Linked DNA regions of Nothobranchius furzeri. The protein of the gene in region 4 interacts with the protein of the main gene of each other region in a pairwise test. Links are inferred from orthologs where the notes say so. Each region holds a gene or a part of one and is shown on either strand. Other genes may lie near its edges.

The links.
Region 1: the proteins of trip6 (region 4) and hoxa1a interact in a two-hybrid assay, tested with the Homo sapiens proteins (2 studies listed by BioGRID and IntAct). The two-hybrid records come from large-scale screens. The link is inferred for Nothobranchius furzeri from reciprocal best matches to the Homo sapiens genes TRIP6 and HOXA1.
Region 2: the proteins of trip6 (region 4) and pom121 interact in binary tests that used the Homo sapiens proteins (3 or more experiments, as listed by UniProt). The two-hybrid records come from large-scale screens. The link is inferred for Nothobranchius furzeri from reciprocal best matches to the Homo sapiens genes TRIP6 and POM121.
Region 3: the proteins of trip6 (region 4) and hoxa9a interact in binary tests that used the Homo sapiens proteins (3 or more experiments, as listed by UniProt). The two-hybrid records come from large-scale screens. The link is inferred for Nothobranchius furzeri from reciprocal best matches to the Homo sapiens genes TRIP6 and HOXA9.
Region 5: the proteins of trip6 (region 4) and bysl interact in binary tests that used the Homo sapiens proteins (3 or more experiments, as listed by UniProt). The two-hybrid records come from large-scale screens. The link is inferred for Nothobranchius furzeri from reciprocal best matches to the Homo sapiens genes TRIP6 and BYSL.
Region 6: the proteins of trip6 (region 4) and ppp1r16a interact in binary tests that used the Homo sapiens proteins (3 or more experiments, as listed by UniProt). The two-hybrid records come from large-scale screens. The link is inferred for Nothobranchius furzeri from reciprocal best matches to the Homo sapiens genes TRIP6 and PPP1R16A.
Region 7: the proteins of trip6 (region 4) and rho-related GTP-binding protein RhoQ interact in a two-hybrid assay, tested with the Homo sapiens proteins (2 studies listed by BioGRID and IntAct). The two-hybrid records come from large-scale screens. The link is inferred for Nothobranchius furzeri from reciprocal best matches to the Homo sapiens genes TRIP6 and RHOQ.

The regions. Positions count from the first base shown.
Region 1 is NC_091751.1:29,552,078-29,556,413, forward strand, and holds the start of hoxa1a (homeobox protein Hox-A1a), read right to left. Parts: upstream 2,839-4,336; 5' UTR 1,671-2,838; coding exon 1,070-1,670; intron 712-1,069; coding exon 332-711; 3' UTR 1-331. UniProt on the Homo sapiens protein: Sequence-specific transcription factor. Regulates multiple developmental processes including brainstem, inner and outer ear, abducens nerve and cardiovascular development and morphogenesis as well as cognition and behavior.
Region 2 is NC_091750.1:52,614,960-52,619,283, reverse strand, and holds the start of pom121 (nuclear envelope pore membrane protein POM 121), read left to right. Parts: upstream 1-1,461; 5' UTR 1,462-1,594; coding exon 1,595-2,160; intron 2,161-2,640; coding exon 2,641-2,847; intron 2,848-3,004; coding exon 3,005-3,154; intron 3,155-3,247; coding exon 3,248-3,328; intron 3,329-3,413; coding exon 3,414-3,585; intron 3,586-3,667; coding exon 3,668-3,756; intron 3,757-3,835; coding exon 3,836-3,915; intron 3,916-4,013; coding exon 4,014-4,135; intron 4,136-4,208; coding exon 4,209-4,308; intron 4,309-4,324. Other genes in the region: polyubiquitin-C, read left to right, coding at 1-181. UniProt on the Homo sapiens protein: Essential component of the nuclear pore complex (NPC). The repeat-containing domain may be involved in anchoring components of the pore complex to the pore membrane. When overexpressed in cells induces the formation of cytoplasmic annulate lamellae (AL).
Region 3 is NC_091751.1:29,595,117-29,599,399, forward strand, and holds the start of hoxa9a (homeobox protein Hox-A9a), read right to left. Parts: upstream 2,901-4,283; 5' UTR 161-2,900; coding exon 1-160. Other genes in the region: homeobox protein Hox-A10, read right to left, coding at 3,835-4,109. UniProt on the Homo sapiens protein: Sequence-specific transcription factor which is part of a developmental regulatory system that provides cells with specific positional identities on the anterior-posterior axis.
Region 4 is NC_091742.1:54,147,213-54,151,298, reverse strand, and holds the start of trip6 (thyroid receptor-interacting protein 6), read left to right. Parts: upstream 1-1,180; 5' UTR 1,181-1,301; intron 1,302-1,303; exon of another isoform or gene 1,304-1,409; intron 1,410-1,775; 5' UTR 1,776-1,815; intron 1,816-4,086. UniProt on the Homo sapiens protein: Relays signals from the cell surface to the nucleus to weaken adherens junction and promote actin cytoskeleton reorganization and cell invasiveness. Involved in lysophosphatidic acid-induced cell adhesion and migration.
Region 5 is NC_091743.1:46,638,468-46,642,607, forward strand, and holds the end of bysl (bystin), read right to left. Parts: intron 1,404-4,140; coding exon 1,301-1,403; intron 1,218-1,300; coding exon 863-1,217; 3' UTR 574-862; downstream 1-573. UniProt on the Homo sapiens protein: Required for processing of 20S pre-rRNA precursor and biogenesis of 40S ribosomal subunits. May be required for trophinin-dependent regulation of cell adhesion during implantation of human embryos.
Region 6 is NC_091747.1:54,993,083-54,996,689, reverse strand, and holds part of ppp1r16a (protein phosphatase 1 regulatory subunit 16A), read right to left. Parts: intron 2,082-3,607; 5' UTR 1,442-2,081; coding exon 1,195-1,441; intron 942-1,194; coding exon 871-941; intron 1-870. UniProt on the Homo sapiens protein: Inhibits protein phosphatase 1 activity toward phosphorylase, myosin light chain and myosin substrates.
Region 7 is NW_027223037.1:4,057,989-4,062,300, reverse strand, and holds the start of rho-related GTP-binding protein RhoQ, read right to left. Parts: upstream 2,900-4,312; 5' UTR 2,683-2,899; coding exon 2,541-2,682; intron 2,334-2,540; coding exon 2,275-2,333; intron 1-2,274. UniProt on the Homo sapiens protein: Plasma membrane-associated small GTPase which cycles between an active GTP-bound and an inactive GDP-bound state. In active state binds to a variety of effector proteins to regulate cellular responses. Involved in epithelial cell polarization processes.

The DNA.
Region 1 (4,336 bases), on a different chromosome or scaffold from region 4:
GCGTACTAGGTCATTGCGTTGCTCACTTAACAGCACCCTGCGCTGCATACCCGCCATGACCCGGATACACCACTTTACATTTGTTTTCGTTTGCAGACTCGTGTCTGCCTTTTTTTGCTCACGTTACAGATCAAACTTATCTGAAGATACAGAGATGTTCTTGCAGACACATTGCACAATTTAAACCTAAAGCTCCAGGGTGATCCAAAAGCTCCCGGATGGAGGACTAACTTTAATAAATGTTCACACAATGTCATTCACGAACAAAGACTCTGGTTTTGATACATTTAAACGTTGGTATTTACAGGCCCGTGTGGCCCAGATAGGCTGCTCAGGTAGAGGTGTACGTGTCCGTGCCAGTGGAGGACACCGTGGATGAGCTGGGAGAGGGCGTGGACGGCGCTGAGACGGACCTCTCAGAAGCGGCATCGTCTAATTTCTCTTGATTTATTTCTTCCGGGTGCGATGACTGGACCTTAGCCGGCAGCATCCCCTCTTTCTCGCGCTTTTTCTGCTTCATCCTCCGATTCTGAAACCAAATCTTCACCTGAGTCTCATTCAGCTGCAGCGCAGCAGCAATCTCCACTCGGCGCGCCCGGGTCAGGTATTTGTTGAAGTGGAATTCTTTTTCCAGCTCTGTCAGCTGCTTGGTGGTGAAGTTGGTCCGGACGATGTTTGGCTGGCCCGCATAGCCGTACTCGCCGGAGCGACCTGGGGACAGGAAGAGGGATTCAAGTTTATTTTCTCACCCAAAGGACGCACAAACTGTGCGATTATCCAAAAGAACCAACTTTTACGCAGCAGGCAAAGAAAACCTAATTATTTTACATATAAAACACACTCTATAGTTAAAGACAAATGTCTTTAAACCAACTTTTAAAAGAAAGGGGCGCACGCTTGAAGTGGAAACATGGACATTTAATGCGTTTGCGCGTCAACGCGCTCGCAGTGTCAACATCTCCTGTGTGGATTCCAGTCTGCTTGACCGATTAAAACCAATTAAAACCAATAATAGCAACAGACTAGATTCCCACCTATCTCCCTCGTGCTGGTACAGCTCTGCACCCACCTGTTTTCGGTGGATTTCTTTTGACTTTCATCCAGTCGAAAGTCTGCGCAGAAGATGCGCTCTCTGACAGAGGTGAGCAGCAAGCTTCCAGGTGAGCTGCATGCAGAGGTGACAGCGGGTTGGAGGCCCCAGGATAAGAAGGTGCCTGTTCATGACCCCCGCCATAAGCAGCATACTGCAGCTGGCCCAAGGTGGCAGCACTGTAGCCATGGCGATGCTGAGACACCATGGAGGAAGAGATGTTACCTGAAAACATCAAAGGGCTGCACTGGGGGAATGCAGGTGCAGAGTCTACTTCCTGGTTGAGTGTGTAGTGGTTGTACGTGGCGCAGAAACTTTGGGGCCCATAGTTAGAGCCACAGGCCGGGTGGGCCCCATAGGAGAGACCCATAGAGGTGGCAGTAGGCTGGTAAGAGGCCGGCTGGTGAGGGATGCTGTCAGGGGAAGTCCTGTTTGCCATGAAGTGCTCATCCGCCCCGCAGCTGCTGATTGCAGCCCCGCAGGACTGGAAAGTTGTAATCCCGTGGTCCGAGTGGAAAGCCCTGATCGAACATGAGCCACCCTCACCGCTCATCACCGAGTAATCTAGGAAGCTGCTCATTGTAGCATCGTTAGTCTGGGACCAGGAGACTGTCCTCTCCCCCTCTGATCTCTCCACACTCTCACCCTAAAGTGACCGTGCCAACCTTTACCTTTCTGTCCCTATCAGTGCAGGGAGGGGGGTGCTGGGGATATCAATGAACGGGCACTGTCACGTGGGCACGGGTCAGCCAGTGAGGGTCCTTGTCCCTTTAGCCGGTGACAGATTGGTGTTTGAGGGGCTATTTAAATTCCAGGCGCTCGTCGATCAAGGTGACGCGCGTCGCCACTAATGTATTGGCCGAGCAAACAATGGGCTGGGAGGCAGACGGAGGTGGACAGCTCCGGGACACACGAGGAGCTGCTGAGACGGTGAACCCGGTGTCTTTTAACCCCCCTGCTGCGCAATCTCACACTGAGGAGAGATGTCATCCAAGGTGGACCGCTCTGCACTCTGACCTCAGGTATTTTTAGAACAGAGAAGTGTGAGTCTGTGTGCGTGCGCGCGTGTGTTGGCGTCTCCGTGCGTATAAGCCCTGGTGTCGCATGTGTCATTCTGTCCAGGAAGGATGGATGGCTGAGAGTGCGCGCGCTCGCTGCAGCCGCGGGCTATCTTTAGGCTATTAATGTCCCATTCCGATGTGAAATGTTTCACGCTGGAACATTAAGGGATTTTCTGGGCAAATATTGTTACAATGTGATGGAGAGGACGTGTTTCCCCTGTTAAATACATCCATCCCATCGCACCAAGCCACCTTCCAGCAGAATTTCGTTTCCTCTTAAGGTCGCAGCAGGAGCAGGTTTGTGCATTTCACGTTACGAGGAGAGATGATCCGGTCATATATTCATAAAACACCGCAAAAGGATGCGCAAAAAGCTCAAATTACGTTTAAAATGTGCCTGAAGTAGCGCACAAACGTGATTAGGAGACAAAACCATTAAGGTGATGTGATATTAATGTTTTGTTCCGTTCTCGGGTCATAGGTCAGCCATCTACCAGAGTTCCAGTCCCGCATGTATTCATTATGCATGTATGGTGATCAAATGATATAATAATGCGAAGCCTGCTAATGCGCATATGTAGCCCGAGGTGCGAGTGGGCTGATTATCCTGTTAAGTTCATCAAATAAAGCTGCTGGGAAAACGAATGGTCACGGGAGGCGCGAGAGCGGAGGGGAGTGAGGGGGTTGTAGCAGATGCCCAACCTCTAACCGAGGAAGGAATAGAGGAGAGGGAGGGAGGGAGGGCGAAGGGAAGGATCAGATGGAGGGATGAGCGCCCCCTCAGGCTGAAGATAGACATGCACTTAAATAAACGTGCTTCTGTTATTAAGTAGATTAATTCAGCTCAGAAAAGCGTGATTCAGATTTTACACTCTATTTATTTTTCCTACAAACGTCTAAGTTGTCTCACTGGTACTCAAACAAGCAGTATCAGTAAAATATTAGCAACATTCAAATGTGCAGCTTTTTTCCATTAGTCAAATGTAGTTCTACTTTGTCTTAAATGTAATGTTTTAGGATGTTAGAAAAACAAAATTAGATGTGAAAATGTTCAAAGACTTGTTGCAAACTACATAGCAGAGGGAGGGAGAGAGAGAGAGAGAGAGAGAGAGAGAGAGAGAGAGAGAGAGAGAGAGAGAGAGAGAGAGAGAGAGAGAGAGAGAGAGAGAGAGAGAGAGAGAGAGAGAGAGAGAGAGAGAGAGAGACGAACTGGTTTCCATTCCACCCCCACCCCTCTCCAGCAGCTGCCTCTGTAGTGAGTGGGCGCGGAGGATCCATCGCGTCTCTGCTGCTTGAGGCCAGCCGGGCCCCGCGGAGATTCCGCGGCTCTTTGTGTGGCCGCGGGGGCGCAGAAAAGGCGCGCTGTCTCGGAATGATTTGGTTATGCAGGCCCGTAGTGCAGGAGAGCAGCATCTGCCCCCTGCTTCCTCCTACCACCCCCTCATCTGAACACACGCGCGCGCGCGCGCACACACACACACCCACACACGCACACAGCCAAAGTTAGAGCTGATTTTCTGCTTTCGGCTAAGTTTGACACGTTTTGAAAAATCACTGCAGCTTTCATCTCAACTGGTGTTTTTTAGTGATTCTGAGTTAAACTGGATTATTGAGTTCCCATAAATCCAATCAAAGCTGCGCAAGAGTGCTAAAATGTTCATAATCCCTTTATTGAAGTGAGGGGTTTGAAACGCACACAAACCAGTCTTGTCTTTAAATAAAAAAAATCACAGATTCCACCAGTGTGAGTGGAGAAGCGACGCTAAATAAGAGCAGCTTTAACCTGAGCTGCTGCTGCTGCTGTCTCCGAGTCAGAGCCGCGTGTTAAACAAGCCATAAAAATGAATTATTACCAAACGCACGCAGAGAGCTCGGCCCCTTTTAGCTTAGGAATCGGGGAGTCCCGCATGAAAACGTAAGTGGGGTTTTTATTTGTGCACATTACGCCACAATTGCTCTCTTTAATGTCCGCCTCATTCATGCCACGGAGTGATTTATGAGCTCCTGAAGGCAAACATGGGTCGGGTGTTTGCTTGCAACTTGCACGCCGTGTTTGGAGCCTTGTCATGCTCAGATCCTGGGTGCAAATTTGGTCTTCTAATTATTTATTCCTGCAGCTGAAATTGGAAATAGCTCAAATTATGGCTTTGCGCATTTACGAAAAGAAATTATTAAATATAAAAAG
Region 2 (4,324 bases), on a different chromosome or scaffold from region 4:
GCCAAGTGACACCATTGAGAATGTCAAAGCTAAGATCCAGGACAAGGAAGGCATCCCCCCAGATCAGCAGAGGCTGATCTTTGCTGGCAAGCAGCTTGAAGATGGCCGCACCCTCTCAGACTACAACATTCAGAAGGAGTCCACCCTCCACCTTGTCCTGCGTCTGAGGGGTGGGCAGTAAAGTCATGGTTCCACAGTTGGTTTCATTTGCCATGTAATGCTTGGAAATTAAAAGTTACATTTGTTTTTAACTTGTGACCAAAAATGTTCCGTTATCACAATAAAAGGTTAAATTTGCTTTTGCTTTCATTTGAAATGTTTTACAAAAATTGTTCAGCAGTTTCCCCTGAAGCCAATTAAACAGACTTCTAAAAGTTGCAGAATAGACCAATTTTAGATGGCAACATGTAAACGGTGTTAACAAAAAAAAATCTGCCACAATTGCCTTCAAAATTAAATCTCAAACTTAATTCCAAATCCCACTAGATCTCCACACTAACAGCTCATAAATATCAAATGCATGTAAAACTTAATGTTAGCATATTTTGAGGGCAGATCTGAGCTTTCAGAAGGAAGTATATGTATTTGTGGTTACAGCAAATAATTCAGACTTATCTATCTTTGAAATTGTTTCACAAGCAGGGAAGAGTCATCAAAACATGTTTGTGAAACCTAACGTTTAATTTAAAGCGAAGGTTACAATACTGGGATAAAGATGGAGCATTACCCTTGTCTTGGCATCAATGCACTGCTACCTGCTTGCTTTAGTATCCAGTATAAGGTACTTTAAAATCTATGCATGGCCTTAGGGCCTTACTCAACATTACTTTTGAGCTGCTGCTGTTCTACTCCTGTGGGTCTAAGGTCAGCTGATGAGATGGATGCTCCTGGAAGTCCCAAGAATGAGACCTAGCCTCTGAGGTGGGGGCTTTTAGTGTAGTCTGGAATGTGCTGCCTTTAAATATTAGGTTGGCATCATCGCTGTCTTGTTTTAAATCTCTTTTGAAACCCCTTTTTTATGGCTTTTAACTCCGCATGAGTCTTTTACTTTTAAGAGTAACATCTAAATTAACTTTTTTGTCTGTAGATGTGTAATCAGTGTGGCAATTTGGTGCAACTTTAAATTTAATTTCGGCCCAAAACTTTATATCTCCATCTTCAGGTTAAAAACTGCTCCACATTTATTTAGAATCAGCCACAGCTGATGGCTAAGCTGAAAAACGTGACATTGTCAGCAAATCACCACGTGGCTGCAGTGCACTGGTCTCCAGCTGAGGTAGCCGCACCTCCACCTGGCTCAACCACTCACCTGCCGATGTGACAAGTTGGCGCTCGGAGCCGCTTGCCCCATGCCTCCTTGAAAAAAACGCCCTCCTCTCCTTTTTCATCTAATGATCGCGGTTAACAGGAAACCCTCCAGAATGCTGCAGAATCTGAGTCTGCTATTTCCCTGAGCGGTAAGTCTGCTGTGAGTGTGTGCTTGCGTGCATAGGCGAGTGTGCACGGTGACGTGTGGATTGATGGTGTAGTTCGCTCCTGTGCTCGGTAGGGAGCGCTGCCGCGCGAGCAGTTGGATAGAGCAGCAGCATGTTGAATGCGAGAGAGGCGGCGCGCTACCGCCATGTCACCTAGGGAGAAACAGTTAGCGCTTCTCTCTGTTTTAGGATTAATCACCTTCGCTTTTTACTACATCCCCACTTTTCTGTACGCTACTTTAATTTTTGCAGCTTGTTGTTTTGCTTTTTATTATCACAGCGGAGAATCGTTTCCCGCCAGGTTAGGCCCGAATCCTCGGGTTGGATTAAACGTTTCGGGCGTGCTGCGGCGCTGGTCGTCGGGTTGGACAGCGACCGGCGTCTCGGTGGCCGCGCGGAGTAGAACGAAGAACCGCAACCGATCCGAGCACCATCACCGGGAGACAGAGGGACTCCCGAAGCTCAGTAAAACCGGGCTCTGTCGAGGAGAAGCCTTAGCAAGTGACTCGATTCTTTTCAGCCCTCGGGATTTTCTCATGGGGAGTTACATCGGGAAAGCCGAAAGTCCAGCGGCCGTCTCTGGGAGGCCAAAAGCCGGGAGAAATCCCCGGGAGCAACTGCGAGAACAACTGTCCAGACCCAACCATGCAGTTTATACCCCGAACAGGAGGCTTTCGTTCTCTGGGTGAGTTAATTAGGTTTATTAAGCTCTGATCCATCTGTTTAAATTCACGTGTTGCATGAAAAAGAAATGTTTATAGCGTTAGCTAGCTTGTTAGCACACAAAACCCACATGTTTGAAACGTATAAAGCTCTAACCAGAACTCTTTAACTTGGAATCGTTTTAAAAACATCCAATAACTTTGTTTCATTGGCTTCTTTTACTCATGCTTTTAGCTAAGTTACTGTGATAAATCTTTTGTTTTGATGGCTTGTTGTGTCTACACGCTTGTGTTGTCTAAAAACTAACAGAGCATTTTACTAACTTTTCGTTAAAGTGCATATCTTTACTTTTTGGTTAGGATGAGCAGCATAGTTTCTTTTTCTATGCAGCTGCATGTTTCACATGTAAAGTGATTGTTTTATATTGTTTTATTTCTATTCCATAACATCTGTACGTTTTAACCTGCTGAAGTTGTTCCTTCCATTACAATCTCCTCTGCAGGGAGCCTCTGGGTGCAGCTAACAGGTTCACCATCACCCCCCAGCGTCGCTACCCCCTTCAGCAGCCTGGAGTCTCCTCAGTAGGAGTCCTGCCTCCTGTCAAGTGGGATGGTTTCAGAAAAAAGAACATCCTGAGTCCTCGAAATTCCCCTGCTGCTCTCAGTCCCGTCACTGTAAAGATCGCCAGGCCCGACCACAACATTCCCAGGTCTCTGCAGGTTAAATGTTTTTGGGCACGACCGTTTATTTTTAATTTTTAATTTTTTGTCTTTTAATTTACTATTTGGATAGCCCTTGATTTGTTGCTTGAGGTCTTGCTACTTTCAGCCGAATCAGTGCTGACTGTCCTCTGCTCTGGTTTTTAGTGTGAATCATCTGAGTTGTGCAGGGCTCACCAGGGTCCCGGCAGACCCCTGCTCCAGAGAGAGCGTCCTCAAGGTGTTGAAGGAAAGCCGCAAGAGGGAAGTAGAGGATGAGGACAGGAGCTTCACCGCTGAGCAAAGAAGCAAAAGAAGGTAGAAAATTTGTTTAATAGATTCTTGAGGTACTGTCTGCTCAGTCTGGACAATAGCAGCTGTCTTATGGTTTCTTTTTATGGCTTTTCTTAGGCGCAATGACAGCGGTGGAAGTTCGCACTCTGCTTTTGAGCCTCTGTTGCCTAATGGAGCACCATCCCAGCTGGTCCCTAAGTGAGTAAGAATTGTATGTAAAGCTGAATCATAATCTTAGATGTTGGACAAAGCTTTAAATGTTGTTTTTATTAATGTTCTCCAGACCAGGGAGCCTAAAAAGAGGGATGACCGCATCCTTAGACGAGACCACCATGAAGAGGTCTCGCACCTCCTCCATCAGCTCTAGTTCTGGAGTTCATGCCCCGAGAGGAACTTCGGGTACCAGAAGAAATGCAATCCAAAGCTCCTACAGCTCTTCGATAGGTTTTAGTCAGGTATCTTCATCTACCGGAGTCTAGTAAAGGGGGTTTTTGCATAGCAAAAGCAAATCGAAGCATTTTTTGTTTTTCTTTACAGTGGAAGAAACCATCTGCACCCAGCTCTCCTCTATCGAGCCCTGAATCGTCTCGCTCTCAGACTCCAGAGGGATTTGCCAAAAGACCCAGGTCTGTTTCTGCATGTTTGTCATCATTAAACCACATTTAACTACAAATTAAAGCTTTTTTTATGTTTTCTAATCAACAGAGAGGATGACACTCAGTCTCCAAGCTCTGCATCCTCAGTGAAGTCGGACCACACTGCATCAGACAAGACCCTTGATACCAGTAATTCCCATTTATCTGTAGATGACTTTTCCAATTTAGATGATTCATGTTCAAAGTATGGTCACAAACAAATATGATGTTGTTTCATAATATTGCAGTAAAACAAACTCCGGTGATCAAATCCCCAGTCACAACCTCTGCAGACTCGACTGGAAGTGGTGGGAAGAGAAAACGGAAGATCCAGCTGGTGTCCAGCCACCGAGATGATCGCATCTCTCTGGTGAGGAGCGCTGATCTCCCTCACATTTGTTTATTTGCATCCAGATTGCATTATTGTGGTTGTTCATGTGCAGCCTCCACCTCCTGAGCTGGGCTACACCATCACAGCCAAAGATCTAGACGAAGAGAAAAAAGCTGCTATCAGTAAAATCCAAAAAGTCCTGGAAACAACTGGTAAGAAAAAGCCAGC
Region 3 (4,283 bases), on a different chromosome or scaffold from region 4:
AGGTGCAAGTCCCGAGCTCGCTGTGGTCTCCGATGGAGGCGGGCTGTCTGATGTGCTGGATACCGGAACCAGAGGGGTACCGCGGGATGGAGACCTCCTCGCTCTCGGGCAGAATGAGGGAATCGACGTAGTAGCTAGTCAATGTTCCGGACGTCGACATGGCAGAAAAATGGCACTTTCACATGTACGCAGTCATACAGCAGATACATGCAAAAGGGCAAAACACAAACACACACATACACACACCTCTGACACACACACACGCGCGCGCGCGCACTAAAGAGCCTCGCAAAATAACAATGTGGAGAAATCAAGTAGCAACTTGGCCCCACGGAGAACTACAGTGGGAAAGTAATGGGGAGACACGCCGCCACGCCATTGGACAGCGGAGTCACGTGATCATAAGGCTGAACAATAAAAGATAAATCAATCCCTGCAGTCATTAAATACTCACCCGTTCTGCTGTAACAACCCGGATTTTTACCAACGATCGGGATTTGGTCAGAAATGTAAAAACAGGGAAAATAAACACGAACGACACAGAAAATAAATAAAAATAAATAAATGCTGATGAAGGTGACGCTGCTCTCAGCAGCGCCGTCCTCAGACATACTACATGTATTTGGAGGATTATTTTTACGGGATGGTTTATTGGACACGTAAGCAGCTCCTCTGCTGCCAATACAGCAAACTCAGTGAAGGAAGCTGCGATCATTAATAAAACACAAAAAGGCTGAATTCAGCTCAGGTTCTGTTGTTTTAGACACACTCAGATCATTTCAACATCGTTCAGAAGCAGGTGAGTTTTCAGACGAAACGAGTAAAACCCGTCAACTAATAACGTTTAAATATTTTATTCTCGTTTAGCTCCCAGGATTTTCTTCTTAAATGTTGTAAATAAAAACCTGAAATGGCCTCTCTGATACATCCCCGCATACAGACTAACACATGCTTTATTATTAATGTTTGTGTGTCCACTTTACAACATTAACACACTTTATTTAAACGTTTTCTTATTTAAAAAGAGGATCTAGAACCCGTTAGATATTATTTTAAGAACAAAGCATTATTTATTTTAAAATCTGAAACACACTGAGCCGTGCGGAAACAAAGCGTATTCTAACATTTTGGATAAATTACCAGAAATGCGCTCAAGACTCGGACTTCGTTTCAGATATTTTAACAAATAATAAGTGATTTATTCATCAGCTTTGCTAAATGTGTGTTTGAGTTTTTAGAGTTTATCTGGAGAAGTCAAAATATTAAAAAACAAAAACAAATCCACAATATAGTTTCATTTTAAAGCAATGTGCTTGTTCATAAAAGTAAATAATAAAATACAGAGAGTTAATCTGTTTATCTTTTGCACCACGTTATCGCGGATATGCTGCTTCATCGCGGCCATTAACGAGTGCGTTAGTACCTGCAGCTGCCTGGGCTTTGGCGTAATTTTACACACAAACGGCGCTAAAAATAATCTTTAAATGGTGTTTAGTTCCCATGTTTTAAATGGAGGTGGTGCGGAGAGTTTGCAGGGACTGAACTGTTTGTCCATTTTTGTTTTTAATAGTATTTTATTTTATAAAACGCTGTTTTGATGATGATTATGACGGGAAACATCGACGCGCTGGAAAACTGGACAATATTTGAAAATACATACGTGATTAGGATGTTACGCAGCTGTTATATAATTCCTTATCCACGGGATTACATTAGTATGTAGTAAGCGCGAATTTCCTAGAAAGGGTTTAGCCAACTTGTTATTTAAAAACTGAAAATTTAAAAAGATTATGTGTGTAGGGTACGTGTGCAGTTTGGCGTTTCTTAACTGACTTCGGTGGTTTTTGTTGCGCCAACCTTGAGTTTTTTATTTCATTTATGTGGTTTATTTATTGCTCGCAAATAAAAGAGAAGCTGGCCAACACCCCTACAAGGCCACAGAGAATCCCAGACGCACAGATTATCTGAATTCTGCTGTTGCGATTAAAATCGCACGTAGAGTCAGAGAAAATCGCACAATTACGCACAGTCCCGCTGTCCATTTGCACAGTTTAATACCAGAAGATGCGTTCAGGATAGGGGCGGCTGTGCGCCTTTTTGTGCACTAAAATCCAGAATAGACAAACAAGAATAGACAAACACTTTTGCAGCAGGAACAGACGCCACTCTGCCAACAGCTCTCAGGCTGTAAACCTAAATCAGGGTGTTTTCTTCACCCTGCAGTTTACCGCAGGGGCTATTCACTTCTCTTTGCTTCTGCAGATAACAGCCTGTCTGGCGGATCTAAATATCGCCATAAAGCCCTTCCCTTTGTGAGAGCCACCATTGCGCAGTGGAAGCATCCGGTCTTATTGCCGACGGAGGTCGCTGTTGCCCCATTCACCTTCCCCTTCCCCTCCACTGCAGTGGTCGTAACCGAGGCCTTGTCTGGCGTCTCTGCGTCACTCACTACTACTCACTAGAAAAAATAGGAGAAGAAAAACACTCCCAGCTTTTAGTCACAAGTCCACGACGCACACTGCAGCTGAGCTCTGACCAGCAGACAAATGCATCATCTTAAGCAGCACAACAAAAACAAAGCAGGAGGAATCTGAGAAAACACCGCGGGCCACCCCCACCCCCTCCCTGGTTTATGACATCCAGAGGCTTGCTTTTCCAAACACCGATTTTTCTATCCTCCCCATGATATCTGAGCTGCAGGCGGTTCCGGTTCGCTCTCGGTGTTTGGGACTGGGGCGATCCAGACAGTTTCCTGTTGTAGAGTCAGAAAAGCACCCCAACAACATGAAACTACCTAAACCACTTCACAGTCATCCGGGCCTCGGCAGCAACACGACCCGACACATCAGAACGAGCCGTGGCGCTCGTGCACGTGTCCAGATCCTCTTTTTAAACGAAGATCAAAACAACGAGAACAAAGACGCAGAAAAATCAAAAATCACAGCAGACTCACCCGGATGCTCGGTGGCTTTTCCAGATTTTGGAGCAGAATTTATCCACGTGTGTGTGTGTGTGTGTGTGTGTGTGTGTGTGTGTGTGTGTGTGTGTGTGTGTGTGTGTGTGTGTGTGTGTGTGTGTGTGTGTGTGTGTGTGTGTGTGTGTGTGTATGGCTGTGAGCCGGGCCTCCTCTCCGTCCGAAAGGCTCACTCACGACTGACGCTGCTCTTCGAGGAGAGGGAGAAAGCTTCTATAGCAGCCAGTCATAAAACTCTACAATAGCCGGCTGGGCATGCAGCAGCGCGGCTTACAGCCTAATATCTTAATTATTTCCGACCCTCCACTAGCGTTCACCTCCGTTCTTTAGCAGCTGCAGACAAAACACACAAGTGAACCTCTGATGTGCATGAGCCCAGAGTATCATTGTGTTTAATTCCTTTAAAATAAAAAGTCTCTGGTGGCTACGCTCGGACAAAAATCCATGTGTGGTTCAGAAATACTCATCAGATGATAATTTATTAGACATGACACAAAAACACATATATACATTAAAATCGTCCTTCACGCGTCCTGGCTGAGGCTACAGCTTACATGATAACATGATGGAGCACATCTGGTCAGCGTAGGAAATCTTTACATCATGCAGAAAAAAATTATATCAAATCAGCCACTTTACAGTGTGTGTGTGTGTGTGTGTGTGTGTGTGTGTGTGTGTGTGTGTGTGTGTGTGTGTGTGTGTGTGTGTGTGTGTGACTTCAATATGATTTTCTAGACACGCGCTCACGTGGAGCGTGTCTAGAGACAAAAGAAGGTCACGTCTCAGTGAAATGAAAGGAGACTGATAAAGAGGTGGAAAGTTTTCCTCTTGCTGCTTTTATTCGACCACTTTCTCGCGCGTCACGAGAAGCCATAGTTGGACGTGAGCTCCCGGATCCGGTTCTCCCGGGTCATTTTCTTCAGTTTCATCCTCCGGTTCTGGAACCAGATTTTAACCTGTCTGTCCGTTAGGTGGACGCTTTTGCTGATCTCTAGGCGGCGCTCTCGGGTCAGGTACATGTTAAAGAGGAACTCCTTCTCCAGCTCCAGAGTCTGGTGTTTGGTGTACGGGCAGCGCTTCTTTCGGCCGCTCTTTGCAGTCAGCCAGTTGGCCGTGTTTTCACTTTTTGCGTCCCCTGAAAGCAACATGACATCCATGGTGAATGCAACAGGTAGCAAATATTTGGAATAAGCAGCAAATCAATATACGAGCATCCGTATTTGTTAGGTTCAAATTGTTAAATTGCGTGAAAATGATGGGCGCTGGGAATTTTACTGCAAACGTAATTCAAAGGATTGGGTTAGGGTTG
Region 4 (4,086 bases):
CAAAGAGAAGCATGTGTGAAAACCAAAGAGGACTAAATACATTCCCTTACAGCCGCAGAGGCCCAACACTCCTGACACGTCACAAGAAGCTCTGTGGGGTTTTGTCTGATCAGGCAAAAGTCACAGGGGTTATCACAGCCGGAGACCTCAGGGAGTAATTGCAGATGAGTTTTATGTAAAGCATTAGGTAAAATGAGCCAAATAAGGCTAAAGCATTACAATTCTTTCATTTTTCTACAACACTAACTGTTTTTACTCATTTGCCACAGCTTTAGTTGGTAATAAACAGTATATTTGACATGTGAAGTCTCTTGTTTGTGTGAGGCAAAGGATCATGCCAATTACTGCAGAGATATTTAGTTTATTTGATCAGACATTCAGGAGAGACTAGGAGTAGAGCCGCTGCTCCTCCATATCGAGAGGAGTCAGTTGAGGTGGTTTGGGCATCTTGTTAGGATGCCTGCTAGACGCCTGCCCAGGAAGGTGTTTCAGGCATGTCCTGCCGGCAGGAGGTCCCCTGGTCGACCCAGGACATGTTGGAGAAAGTACGCGTTGGAGAAAGTACATCTCCAAACTGGCCCAGGAATGCCTTGGGGTCCTACTGGAGGAGCAGGTGGAGGTGGCTGGGGAGAGGTCAGCCTGGAACTCCCTGGTTGGGATGCTGCCCTCGCTGCCCGGATCCGAATAGGCAGAAGAAGACGAGACTAGATATTTAGTACATTTATATATTTCTAAACTTTTAAAATAATTGCTCAATACGGCTAAAATATTTACATATTTTTCCAATTATAGTGGGACATTTAGATGTATTTTATTACTTATATATATATATATATATATATATATATATATATATATATATATATATATATATATATACATACACACACACATAGATAGATAGATAGATAGATAGATAGATAGATAGATAGATAGATAGATAGATAGATGTGTGTGTGTGTGTGTGTGTGTGTGTGTGTGTGTGTGCGTGCGTGCGTGCGTGCGTGCGTGCGTGTGTGTGTGTGTGTGTGTGTGCGTGCGTGCGTGTGTGTGTGTGTGTGTGAGAGAGAGAGAGAGAGAGAGAGAGAGAGAGAGAGAGAGAGAGAGAGAGAGAGAGAGAGAGAGAGAGAGATTTTTGTGAAAAAAGGTAAACTTTCCTTTATTCCAACCCCTTGCCTCCTCCCAACACCACCTCTCGTGCTCGTACACAGGCGCGCGCGCGCATCCAGAGCTACGTCACGCGCTGGGAATGCAGCGAGGAATTGGTGTCTTCGCTAAAGGCCTTCAGATCCGTGACAAAAGTAGGTTAACGACGCTTCAACGACAGCCAAGTCTTCAGGACAACTTTCACTAAGTCGTTAACGTTTAAATGGACTCGTAAGTCGTGTTTGTGCGGCTCGGTTCGGGCGGTAGGTGGCGGTTTGCCGCATCGTTTCCTTTTTGGTCGTGATGAAAGTTAGCCCGGTGTTGTGCCGAAATAAGCTCCCCGCCGTGATTAGCACCTCTCGGATTCATGACATGCTAGCAAACATGTAAACAAGGCTGCTATTAAAGTTAATTACGGGTAGTTTTATTTCATTATGGAGTGTTTGATCACTTAAGTGCGGTGATTTGCACATGCGTGACGCACAGACAGATTTAGACCAGACAGATTCTCTGGTTTGACATATCGTTGCTGCTGCGGAGCTAAAAACGGGACAGTATCTCAGACGGATGTGAGTTTATCTGCTTTTCTGTTTCAGCCTTTTTTTCCCCCCTTTGTTATTTGTGTGTAGATGAGACCTAAGGACAGGCGACAGTAAAAGCACTGTGAAGGTAGGAATGCTGATTTTTATTTTGAAAAAACTGACCAGAAGCACAGTGGTGTTTTTTATTTTTAGTTATGTAATTTATGTTTTTATATCTTTATCAGTAGTAACTGGCACACAAACAAACATTTAACTATCATTATCTTTTATTTCGAAAATAAGTGTTTTATGTTGCCTAATTGTAAAATTAAATAATGAATGTAAATATGAGATTTGCAACAGGAAATGACGACTTATTGTGTTTATTGGGTTATTGCGTTGCACAAACATTTGATATGCTTTATTTAGAATTTAAAAGTAGGAAGTTCTTTATATTTATTGTCTTTCATCCAATTCAGGACTTGGTACTGATGATTTACTCTATGCAGACAGTTTGAACAATAAGTAGAATTTGTTATGCATGCTCCATAGGAAACATTTGGCTCCAAACCTTGAGGGGGATGAAACCATGGAGATTAATTTCCCTGGGCCAGTCTGCCTTAGATTTGACTGTGTGCTCATCCGGATTCAGACAAACGCTTTAATCGGGACCACTGCGCAGGTGGTGATCACCCTTTCCTCAGTGTGAACTCCAGTTTAACAAGTCCTGAATCTGCTGGTTTTACATGGATCACATATCTTTAATTTGAACGTTAAAACCAGTAAAAAAAACATCATGTTAAGGGTTCAAATCTCCTGTCTGAAATGTATTTATATGAAGCTACATCGACATCTGATCTGACATTATAATCCTCTTAACCACGAGGAGGGTCACACCACCCACGTCCAATCGGTGTGAGTGGGTTATTCATTTCTGCACAGGGACTGCACTTGTGTCAGATTTCACATGGCTCGTTTGGGTGTCTGCAGTCTGTCTCTGGAGTTTGTGTCTGCCATTTATTCTTGTTCTGGAAAACACGTTTCATTAAGTCATTTTCAACATTTGTAATTTAGTAATTATAACTTCTGTTTTTGGTATTGGGGGGGGAAAACAAATGTTGTTCATCAAGATTTTTTAAATCGACAGGACAGAGTCTTTACACCCACACGGGTCAAATCAATGTCCTCCAGTAAAATAGTCCACAACAAGTCTTCTGTCCACAACCCAACACATTTTACTGCTGAAAAAATGTCCTTTAGGTTTGTCTCCTTCTCTCTGTAATCTCTATTAGCATCCTCAAATTAGCTGATCTTACCTGATCAACAGGGGAAGGGTCGTCGCCTCTGCTGTGGCAAAATTGATTGGCCAACAGGTCAGACGTGCCGGCCCCATTCCCATAATTAAGGTGCAGTTTATTGTTGATTTTTGTGTTCGCAGACACAAACATTGGAGCAAAGAAAAGAATGCTGTAGCTACTGTGAGGCATGAAGGGGGTTTGGGTCACCAGGTGTCTTTAAAGAGCAAGTCACCCCCAAATAAACTTTTTTTTGCTGATAAACTAAATAAACGAGTGTCTAATCGTGCTGCAGACACGTGTCGTCAATAATTTGGCACTTCAGTGCATCTTAGTTAAAATTTAAATATTCTGCCTAAAACTGGCAGTGTTGTGCCGTTGTCAGGTAAAAACTCTGCACTGCATTTTAATTTAAATCTGCCACTGCTATTGGCTAAGAGGTATGCTATGATGTAAACTGGTACATTATGATGTCACAATGCTGTCGTGAGCCTGAGTGTGTGTGTATTTGTTAGCAGCTCCACCCTCTCGGTCTGCCAGGCAACAGCATTTGTTGCATTTTCAAACATGAAGTGGGAGTGGAGTTAGACTCTGGTAGGGGTTGACTTGCTCTTTAATCTGTGGGGTTTAATGAAATCTGGAGACCTTTAAAGCTGTGTGTCCTCTGCCATTTTTGGTCTGTTTGGGGTTGATTTTCCACTCATTCGACAATCTTTGGTGCTAGGCTGTTTTGTGTCGTTTGCATGTGGACGGTGACAGTTATACAGGGCACGCTCGGCTTTAGGTGTTCTGGATCTGCCCAGTACTAGAACGCTTGTCTCAGGTCATGGGCCCTCCAGCAATATCAGTGAAACACCGGCACCATTCTGACACGTTTTCAAGGAAAACAAGAAAGATCCAGCAGTTCCAACTAAACATTTAAGATTCCCATGTCCTGGACCACTGACCATCTACACAAACCTTTTTCCTAAAGGTACCAACAACTTTATGTTTTTAATTTCTACGACTCCTTTCATTAAGAGTGTCCGGAACGTCTCTCAGGTGGAATTCATCCCTTTGATTTCGCTGCTGTTAGGCTGTGGTGTTGACCTTTTATCCCACGTAGCGTGTTGTCACGAGCCAGG
Region 5 (4,140 bases), on a different chromosome or scaffold from region 4:
ATAATAGAAAAGTTTGTTTCTGTAAAAACGTGTTTTAAGGATTAACTTTATACTTTTTCTTCTTTAAATGCACAACACGTTCCCATCTGTAGTTTTGAAAATTTATAATTTGGCAAATATGTTGATTTAAGTTGTATTTATGTTCATTTTTATCATATAACATTTTCTCCAATAACTTTTTCACATTTTCAAAGAAAATTAGATATAATAATCGAATTATAATCAAAAAGGCTGAATCATAACTTCAGTAATAATTTGTTCCCACTGACGCCCATCTGCCATCTTTAACTGGAATTTTTACAACCAGCTCTGTAATGACACATTTTGTTTGTGCAACTTTCATTTCTAACTCTGCAAATTTTAGCACGTACCCTTTGCTCCAGAAAAAACATCTAGAAAATCATTTTTGCTCCATGTTCATACCTAGAAATGTGCCTCTCAATTCCGCATTTAATCTTTGCTATAGTGCTCCTAATAAATTAAATACTGAGTTACCTTTCTCAGAGAGGCCTTTTCACATACTCCATGTTTCTGGTTAGCGAATGTTAACTATAAATTAAAATCAACAACCAATTTATGAGGTATAATTTGGTTTTTATTCTGACAGGTTTCAGAATTACGACTTTAATCCGAAAGGAGTTTGTGTTCCCAGGCTCAGAGACTTGTGTTACCGTTGTGAAACTGCAGCTACATCACCACTGGTGAGAGTCTCACTTGTGAAAACAAGTCAAGGCAGAACACAGAAAACATCTCTGAGGTCCATAAACAAGTTTAAATTCCTCCTTGTATATGAACAACAGCAAAGTCTGTTTTGTAAAGAGGGAACATGAATGTGGAGAATGGTGCACCACATCAGACTGAATCAGTCCATTTCAACCATTATAGGGAGCCCGATTTCAGTGTCTCTCGACTCAGAGTTTTGTAGCTCCCTGCGAATTTCTGCAGAAATCTGCGGGTGTGTTTGTATCTTGAGCAGCTCCATCAGCGCTGCCTTCTGCTCTGAGGCCAGGTCAGCCTTGTAGCGCTGGGCCAGGGTGAGCAGACTCTGATGCCACAGCACAGGAAGAACACGTTTTTCGTTGCGGAAAGACAGGAAGTGGGCCACCAAGGCATCTAGAACACGGAAAGGCAGGGCGTACTTTTTGTCAAGCAGCAGACGCAGGAAAATGCTGTTGGCACCGTTGTACTCCATCTCTGCCAACTTAAGCATTGCAGCGCTGAAAGAAAGGACAGATCACACAAGTTATGTAACAGCAGACTTGATTTAACACATGTGTGTTTTTGTGTGAGGAGGTCCAACCTGGAGTGCAGCACAGGAATGGAGCATTTTGTGAGAATGCTCCCGATGATGATGGCTTCCCTCAAGGTGCATGTCCCAGACTCACATAAAGGAATCAGGATACCTATGTTATAAGGAATCAGGTATTAAACGCACGCTTCAGTGATGTTTAGAGCAGCATATATCATATTATCACAATGGTACATGACTTGTTTACAAACCAAACAATGTAAATGAGTCTTTGTGAGTCACAGGAAATGGGAAAATCCCTGAAAAATGTCAACCAACGGAACTCGGTTTGTTTTAAATTTGCAGTTGCACAACCATAAGTAGCGCAGATCAGGTAGCAGCTAAAGTGTCGCCAATTATACGTGACACTCATCAACAACAGTGGAGGCCGTAATCAGAGCTGTTTGTAGAGCGTAATGCAATGGATACGTCAGAGATGAAACAATATCTGTGTTTTTAAAACATGATCCTGAAACACTTTAAAGGAGGAGGAGTGATGGGAGGCTGCCACACCTGCTACAGGTTACAACGCAAAACAGAGCCTCAGGGAAAAACATCAGTGGAGACAAGGAAGGAGAATAAGCTCACTTTTAGCTTATATATATTTTATACATCATTAAAATTATGTGTTAATTATCCTACCTGTTCATTTAAATGTGTTTTTTTTAGAATTTACTCTTATTTCTACATTCCATTAGACTGCTTAGTGCTCCATGTCAAACTCTGATGTAGGGACAGGCCGCTATATTGGGCTGATATATACCACTTTTATAGAGCCAATTTAAAAACGGGCACATCTGTGGGCAGCCCGGCGATGCTGCCAAATTTTATTCAAATGTATACTTACAAGGGATGCACCAATATGACATTTTAGGGCCGATACCGATATTAATATCCCTAATATGGCAAATACTGATACTGATTGTGAAATTATGCAAGCTGAATTTTTGAATGTTTTTTTCTATAAAGTGCAAACTAGATATTATATATATATATATATATATATATATATATATGTGTGTGTGTGTGTGTGTGTGTGTGTGTGTGTGTGTGTTTACAATATTATATACACACCACACACATTTACGCTTCTGAGATGATTACCATCACTGTCACATGAATAAACAATTACAGATAATCACCCCTCCTCCCTCTGAAACAGATGCACAAATGGAATCATGTTGGAAAAATAATCGGTTGTTGATATTGGCCCAGTTTTATTCGTTGGACCAATGTGATATGTTAACAGATGACTAACATCGGCCATACCGATACTGACGCAGACATATCATGCATCCCTAATTTTACGTTCCTGACTAACAAGTGCTTGATAAATGCTCAGTTATATGTAATACTTGGTCAGTTTATTGATGTGTGACTCTGGTTTAATGTTTCATCCTAATACTGATCAGTGTACAAGATTAAGATTCAACAAATGGTTAAAATCAGAGTTCAAAAACAGTTAATGATCTATATTTGTATAGCTCCTTATTAGGGTTCGACAACCCCCCACGGCGCTTCACAACACAGTCAGTCATCCCCCCATTCACACGCTGGTGATGATGAGCTAATTGGAGCCACAGCTGCCCTGGGGACCTGTCCCCATGACCACCACCAGCAGAAACTGATTCAGGTTCAGAAATGTTGAGCATCAACAGATGTTATTAGTGACAATTTAGGATGCAGATATGTTAGAAAACGTCTAGACATCGGCCATGAAAATCAACCCAAAAAACAGGAGCACATATCAGCCATAACTGACCGTGACCTCTACATATGAGCATCAGTATCGGCAATAGAAAAACCATATCGGTTTATCTCTATAGTCTGATGTTTACAGCTTCATTAGTTTAGATGAACACACAGAAATCACATTGTGAAAGTTTCATTAAATTTGCTTTGATATGACCAAGATTGATTTACTGAAGCTTAAAGAGATCTTTACCATTTTGATTTCAATGTCAAAGTGATCTACAGGTCAGAGGATTTCAGATAAAACTCTTACAGGTATTTTAATAAACAACAAACCTTCTGCTGGAGCTTGAGTTTGAAACAATACATTAATTATGGCTCAAGCTTCATTAAAGGTGTTTAACATACACGCATGTCTAGTTATCCTTTAAGATCTGTGTCAAATGTTTCAGTCAGTAGGATGGAAGCTGTAGTGGGTGAGAACTGGAGTTAGTTTATCATCTACCACCATTTATTAGTCTGAACTGTGGATGGAAAAACACCCATCACTAGTTCCCAGTATGATGGATCTTAGAGCAACACTGCCACCTAGTGTTTAAGGCTCAAACTGAAGTTATTTTGAATTCAGGTCATGGATTGTTAAAGTTAAAAGTTAAAGTCCCATTAGATGTCACACACACAGGTGTGTGTGCGAAATTTGTTCTCCGCATTTGACCCATCCCCTGGGGGAGCTGCAGACACAGCTGCACTCTGGAACTATTTGGTGGTTTAACCCCCCAATCCAACCCCTTAATGCTGAGTGTCAAGCAGGGAGGCATTGGGTCCCATTTTTTCAAAGTCTTTGGTATGACCCGACCAGGAATCGAACCCCTGATCTCCCAGTCTCAGGGCGGACACTCTACCACTAGGCCACTGAGAAAGGGTAGAATAAAAGGGTAGAGAACAGGAGAATGTTCCCTTCAAACTGCAGGGATTTGTGTTTTCAAACAAATGAAATCAAAAGAATGTTTTTAAACATCTGATTCCACATATAAAGCTTAATTTGACCTATTAATTAACACTTTTATCCAGCCAGAAAAATGGTGTCACTCCTTCAACAGACAGCAGCTAATCCTCCATTAGCATCCTCAGTATAAAAATAATAAATCATGTACAAAAGT
Region 6 (3,607 bases), on a different chromosome or scaffold from region 4:
CTCTTCACTGCATTTGAATTTAAATCTGACATCGCCATTGGCTAAGAGGTATGCTATGATGTAAACTGGTAGATTATGATGTCACAATGTCGTGAGTGTGTGTATTTGTAGTGGCTCCACCCTCTCCGTCTGCTAGGCAACAGCATTTGTTGCATTTTTCAAACATGAAGTGGGAGTGAAGTACGCTTCTTGTAAGGGGTGACTTGCTCTTTAAGTTAAACCAATTTATGTAACACCAGCCAGCCAATCACATCTGATTGGCTAACAGCAACGCAACTCTACTCAATTCACTATGCAACGTTGATGTTTAATCTCCACAAATAACACAAGCCTGAAGGAGTTCTGCTGCGTGGTTGCTAATGCTAATGGTTAGCTTCTACTAGTCAAGATGTTCTCTGCCGTTTCCTGGACGCTAAACCGACCAACCCCATCACAAGCCAAGATGAGCGAGTCCATGAATGTTAAGTGACAGTGTGACGTAGATCTGTCAGGATTTTCTAATCCTAGAGTTTCACCGTCTATTTTCTATCAGAAGCTAAAGCAGGAGATAGGTGTAGGAGACTATTTTCATGTTCCGCCTGCATGAAACACTCAAGAGTAACAGATTATAAGCATAAATAATAATTTAAAAATATTTTTCAGTGTTTCACAGGTTTAAGGAAAATGTGATTATTTTTTGTATGAAGTATTGCTGGTGACCCGTTAGCAGTAGAGCTAACGGGAGCATGTTTGAGTGCGGGCAGTCCATGTGACTTAGGAGCTAAATGTGGGTTACGGTGACCAAAGTTACTTCTCAGTCTTCTTTTGTTTCCAAATATGAAAAAAATGCACACGAACAATAGCACCAACTACTTCAGCCGAGGTGTGTACCTGATGCAGGGCCGTCAATCCATCTTCATTTACCAGATCTGGGCTCACACCGCTGTTCAGCAGCTCTGTCACTAAAAAAAATTTAAAAAAATCTAATAATTAAATTAAATGAAGGTACATGATACACACACAGACACTGACTGACCAATGGAATCTTATATTCTGCTCAACAAGGAAGAGATTACACTATAATTAGCCTCAATCCTTCAGGCAACAACAAAACCCTTTGAAAAGAAAATGTTGAGCCCATTACAGGTAATGTGTGTCGTATCCAGAGGAGTTCACTTCATTCAAACAGCTGCACATGGTGTGTGGTTAACTTACCCTCCTCCACGTCGTTTCGTGCAGATGAATCTAGGAGAGTGACGGAGTCAGGAAACTTTACTTTGGTGGTGCGTTTCTTCTTCCTGTCTGCTTTGGCCCGCGACCCTCGCGTTGCATCTTTTTCCATCTGTGCCCAAGCCTTCAGCTGCTGAGCACGTCTCTTCTGGGCATGTTTTAGACGTTCTGTGGCACTCAGACGTCCAACAGTTGCCATCTCAGCCAGCAGCTCACTGTGATCTGCTGCCATAGCGAGCAGCGATTGCTACTCTGCTGTTTTTCCACTTAGCTTTGAGAATATTTGATCTTTTCTCTGATTTGGGGATTTAAATTTTCAAGTCTCTTCAGCCTTCACTCAGGCCAAAAAGGCCTACATCACGGCCTTTTGTAACACCCAAAAAAAACCCTTTTCACACAAGAATGTGCATAAGAAATATTTAAACCGTGACTAAAAAGGTGATCATCTGATTTTTTTCCATTTTTATAAACACTTATGGTGTCAGAATAAAATCGTAGCAGAACGATGTCCGAAACCTAACAATCCAAGGTTTTAGCCATTTTCCAGTCCTTCCATCCATTTCAACTGTGGCCAATTTTGCAGTAATACATTCAAAAATCCAAACAGGAAGATGAAAAAGTGCAAATATTAAACTCAAACTGATACAGATTGTGCCAAAGACCTCCATTCAACATGGGAAGGACATTTGAGGATCCATGTGGGGAAGAATAGATCCATCATGCAGAAATAAAGATGTTCAGCAACAACTTAAGGAATAAAATCCTCTCGTTATAAACAGAGAACATTCCCTAACTTGTTGTTGGTGTACTTCCTTTAGATGAAGGGCTGGTATGATGGTTTCAGTGACTTGGTCCTCATCCTTGGCGACATTCTGTTGGAAGACAGAGAAGACGTGAGAGCTACGTTACATTCTAATGTACATGCTGCACTCCCAATCCCAATATCTTTAACCCTTGAGCTCCTTCCTCTCCCGCTGCTCTACTGAAGGAAACCCGAGAAGGTGGGACGCTTTTCATTAATGATTGACACTACTGCAGTCCAACACAAACTTCAGCAGGTTGGGGACATCCACAGGGTGAAGCCAAGAGGGAAAAGTGGTTATAATCTGGAGTGCAACATTCTGTTTCATTGTAAAAACTAATGTAAACTCTAGCAAACTCACTTTTTACCTCCAACTTCCAGTGGTATTACACTGCTTGCACACGCACTTGGCTCTTTCCAGGCTGCTCATTTATTATTTAGGCCTTGGCCTGTGTACGCCGAGAGGAAGGTCAACTAGAGGCACCCGCTAAGATACAGAGAGAGACTGCTAAGACTGTGGTCTTGAGCCACAGAGCTACTGCAGCTAGCAGCCACTGAATAGATGAGTCATGTTTAGGGTCATAAATCAGCTGATTAGAGGACAACATGACTGGCAGAAAGCAGGAACAAAGCTCCTCCAAGACTTTTGTTTATTACAAACAAAAAACTATATACAGTACATGAATCTAGACTAAATTAAAAAGTAAACAAATTGATATACTATTCACTGAAACTGAACTTGAGGTTTTGTTAGGGTTTTCCTGACCCACTGAAATCTTAACTACCGCTCAGGAAAGGGACTATTTTAAGATGACTATCCTGTCAGCTATTGTCACGAGCTATGTAAGGATTTCCTTAGATTGAGTTAAAACCCAACACTCCCCTATAGGTTTGTACGGTCACTGTATGCACCGTGGATAAAACAATGCACTAATGACTGTTTTTTCAACAATGATGACTATTTAACTGATGTAAAGACTCAGTATTACAGCTGGACCAGGACATTGCACCAGAGCAGGGAGAACCTTGGCTTTAAGCAAAAAAAAAAACAACAAAAAAACAACTATAAACAATAATCCTGGTGGTGTTTGCAGGTACGGATCCCAGCTTGTAATCCTTCCCTCCATTATCTGTACCACTTAATTCATACTAGGGTCAGAGGGAGTAGACAGGTGGGGGGCACCATGGAGAAGTTGCCAGTCCACCACAGGGTCATATAGACCTACTCAAGTGTGGCTCGAATGGTTTTGGTCCAGTTGGACGGCCTTTTCTGTAGTTTCCCCCACAACCTTTCAGTACCGGAGCCAACGTGGTTCGAAGTGTACCAAGCCATGTCAAAACACGACGTTAGCAATTATTCACTGACTGGAATGGGAGTGGAGTCAGTGGTTACTTCAGAGTGTTCCGCCTGCAGCCGTTTTGGGTTCAGTGTAAGCCTGAGCGATTGGACAAATTTTTTAGCCAAGCCCTTCGCTGTTCATTTTTTAATGAGTAACATTTTTTATGTCTATGAATTAGTCTCAGCTAGGATTCTTGTGATTCCAGTGATATGTCGCAATCAAGGATACAATCATAACTGTAGACACAGTAAATGCT
Region 7 (4,312 bases), on a different chromosome or scaffold from region 4:
TAATGAAGGTACTAATCCTGATGCTAAATATGCTCATTAACATGGATTATCCATTTACTGCAGATCAGTCTCTCAATAAGTTCAGTTGAAATAATACCGTAAATCCTCTAATACAGGCCCGGGCCTGTATTTGACTCAAGCTAATCAAGCTCCAGGTCTTTATTGGAAGGAGGGCCAGTATTAGAGGCAGGCCTCTATTTCTATTTGAGCAAAATGAACTAATGGTTCGTTGGAGTTTTTGACAATTAATATTGCGCCCACATTTTCAAAGTTAAACACATTTCTTTTAACAACGGTAGTTTCTGCTTCAGCCCTCTCCCCCCTCCCCCTGCGCAGCGGCCGCAAACTCACTGATGCGCCTGCAGCCTCTCGGAGTGCCTGCTGCTCTAAACATTAAAATAATTATTTCATTTTCTGTTCCTCACTTCTGATTACCTTCAATGGTGTCCGTTTGTTGCAATCACCAGGTACAAAAACTAACTTGTTTTTATTTGACTATTTTTCTGTCCTGTCTGTTTATTATCTTCCTGCATCTCCTCTCAATCCTAAAGAAAAACTGCTACCTGGGTTCATATATATTCACCTCATGAGTTACCTTTGAACTGCAGTTCTAAAAGATCTACCGACCGCAAAACAGCGGAGTGCTCGCTGCTCGCCAGCCGCATCAGTGATCAGTGCGTCACCGGATGACAAGTTGATGCGCCCCGCTCCACAGCAAAACGCATCAGGCGCAAATAAAAGACAGAAAACATCAAAGGAAATGAACCGACATGAACGATCGCGTGTTAAATAATTTGGCAACACCTGATTGTTACTGTGGCCGTGCTCAGGAGGCAGATTACCGACCGCAAAAACAGCGGAGAGCTCCCTGCTAGGCGGCCGCATCAGTGATCAGTGCGTCGGAGGACAAGGTGAAGTGCCCCGCTCCACAGCAGCGAAACACATCAGGTGCAAATAAAAGACAGAAAACATTAAAGGAAATGAACCGACATGAACGATCGCGTGTCAGTACCGACGCTCTGGCAGAGCGCGTTGCCCCCCCCCCCCGAGCGCAGGAGCTTGTCACCTGCTGACAGCAGGCTGCTGTCTTTTCCGAGGGCTGCATCTTGCCGGTCATTATCTCGTGACAGCGACTAGTCGACGACAGGCATAAAAAGTCACTATAGTGAAGTCGACTAGTTCATACAACCCCTATTGCTCCCCAGTGTTCTGCAGCGCACGGTCTCTTTGAACTTGATATCAAATTTTCGCCTCCTCTTCGTCTCCGCACGGTTAAAGTTACCCTCGCGGTCTATCACTCGCAAATCAAAAGTGAGACGATGACACAACCGCCCCCGTACTTGCTTGTTACCACATTCCACCCGGCCACAATAAGAGGCCGGCCATTATTCACCTCCGCCGACTCCGACACCGGCCAAAATTGGAGACCCGGCCTTTAATTGAATACCGGCCTGTATTAGAGGATTTATGGTAATAATAATAATAAACCACAAAACTGGAAAAGCAGAAATTAGCTAAAGGATATCAACAATTAGATTATTGTTTAGGGACGCTAATTAGCATCCAAATGAAATAAATGATAATTCATACAAAAGGTTTTTTTATACAAAATATTTATGCTGCTATGTCTAAGTGTGTGTGTGTGTGTGTGTGTGTGTGTGTGTGTGTGTGTGTGTGTGTGTGTGTGTGTGTGTGTGTGTGTGTGTGTGTGTGTGTGTGTGTGTGTGTTTGTGCTTGTCTTTATAAGCATAAGTGGACAAATTTAACTTTAACCTGTAGAGTGTGGACATTTCCACATTGTGGGGACATCTGGCTGGTCCACACGATGACAAAATACCCTAAAACGTGGTTCTAGAGGTTTGGTGTGAATTAACTTTTGTTTAGAATAGGATTAGAAATAGAACAGCACTGGTTATGGTCATGGTTAGAGTATGGGCTAGGCATAATACAGTCACAAAAATGAATGGAAGTCAATGGACGGTTTACACAAGGATACAGTGTGTGTGTGTGTGTGTGTGTGTGTGTGTGTGTGTGTGTGTGTGTGTGTGTGTGTGTGTGTGTGTGTGTGTGTGTGTGTGTGTGTGTGTGTGTTTTCAGTACAAACTCCTCTCAGTGAGAGAATAAGTCCACGTGACATCTCTACTGGACATTGCACGCTTGTTCTCCCCATAATGGAACCATTGACCCACCACCCCACCCCCACCCGCCCAGCACCCCATCACCTGTTGTGTGTGTGTGTGTGTGTGTGGGGGGGGGGGGGGGGGCTAACTGTACCTGGCCAGCTGTGTCATAGAGTCCCAGCAGGTACTGCTTCCCTCCCACGATCACGCTCACTGCAGGGAGAGAGAGAGAGAGAGAGAGTGTGTGTGTGTGTGTGGGTGGGGGGTCCTCCTTGGAGGGAGGGGCTGGGTGGGTGGAGCCCCCCCCGGTTGTAATGAAGGAGGCAAACAAGTGGTTCTGATGTCAGGAGCATCGGAGTTGGTGGTCACCTGGGCCTCATTAGACCAGAACCCATCCGAGCCCAGTGGAACCGGCCCTACCTGCGTAATGGTCAAACACCGTGGGAACGTACTCCTCCGGAAAGGCGTCGTTGGCGTAGCTCATCAGCAGACACGTTTTACCAACCGCACCGTCTCCCACCACGACGCATTTTAACATGATGGTACCGGTTCCGTTAGCCATAATGTCCTCAACCGGACCAGCACCATCCTCTGCACCCCGACAGGCTGTGGTTCCGAGCCGCTCCTCCTGCTGCTGGGTGGAGATCCCTGCTCGGTGGGCATCACCAGCCCCGGAGGCGCACCGAGTCGGTCTGGATCAGCATCTCTCTTCCGGTTACGGGTCCAGTCCGGTTCAATAGTAACTCCCCACCGGATTCATAACCGAACTGCTTCAGTGGTTCCGGTGTCAGTGTAGTGTGTCGGGTACTGGCTCCCCGCCCGGTGGGTTCTGCGCCCCAGCTCCGCGTCGATCCCCGGTGGACTGCGCGCTGTCGCGGTGTGAGCTCGGTGGAGGGGCGTGGCTAACAGGCTCCAGAAGCCCGCCTCCGCCGCCTGGTGGGAATGCCCTGCAGTAACGGCATCATCTGGATTATAATCCGTTGGAAAACAATGAAGATCAGAGCGATGGTTAATTAAAGCTCACTCACAATCTCAAACATCTGATCCTTTTAGATGATAATTAGTCAGTTCACACCTGGCTCACGTGGTCACACACATGAGAAACACCATAAAACTCACGGAATAAATCTAAACAACCCCAATGGCTAAACTATGTGTGTGACGTCACGGCACGCCAGGTGTTCTGCATCAGTCCCACATCCGTGTGTGTTAGCTCCTGGCTAACATCTAGCGTTGAGCCACTTTTAGCTCATAAAACACATTTTATAATTAAACACGTTTTTCCATATTTAGAATTCTAACGTTTGTTTTTGCTCCCCATAACAAGGAAAACTCTTAATTTAATTTTTATTCTTATTTTATTGTTTTTATTGACACGAGAGACTGAATCTTAAAGCCACACGATGTAACTTGTTCTTATTTTTAAATAATTTTCTTGAGTCATTATGTTCCAAAATGACCCTTCACAGGATTAATGACATGTCACTCACCCTCACCCACCCAGTTTGGCTGCAGACCCTTCTCAGGCGCCACCTGAAGCAGATGGAGATGACATACCCGGCGCTGCATTCTGCTTCCAGCATGTTTCCTGCATTCCATTAGATCATGAACACAGCTGATGTATTTGATTTAGTGATGAACCAGCCTTGTAGACACTATAGAAGGCGCGATTAGATTAAGGTGTTAAAAAGACTAAAGCACAGCGAGGAGTTTCACTTTTGGTTTTAATACACGGCCACTAGAGGGTGCTAAAAGCAAGCAAAGCTGCGAAGTGTGCCTTTAAAATATGACGTGTTAAATGTTTAAACACAATTTAAAATAAGTGCAATCAGGTATGAAAACATACAGGTGTGTGGAAACCCAAGAGGCAGGGGTCACAGGTGCAAAGCATCATGGGACTGTTCTTTGTGTTCATGGGCAGCGTTTAGCGGCTAATGTAGCAATGTCATGTTGATCAGCTGGAATTACTGTTCATGATTGCATTTGCCTGAGGGTATTTGTGGGTGTGTCCATCTGTTTACATATAGAGGGGGCGTGGCTTTAAACATGCAGTTAGTTTAAGGTCAAAGGTCATAGACAACAGTTATTACCTGTGGCCCTTTGAGCAGTCAGATATTGGCAGAAAGTGACATCATCATGATGTTTGTGTTTATCTGAGCTGCTCTGGCGTAGTAAGTATATTTTATTTATAT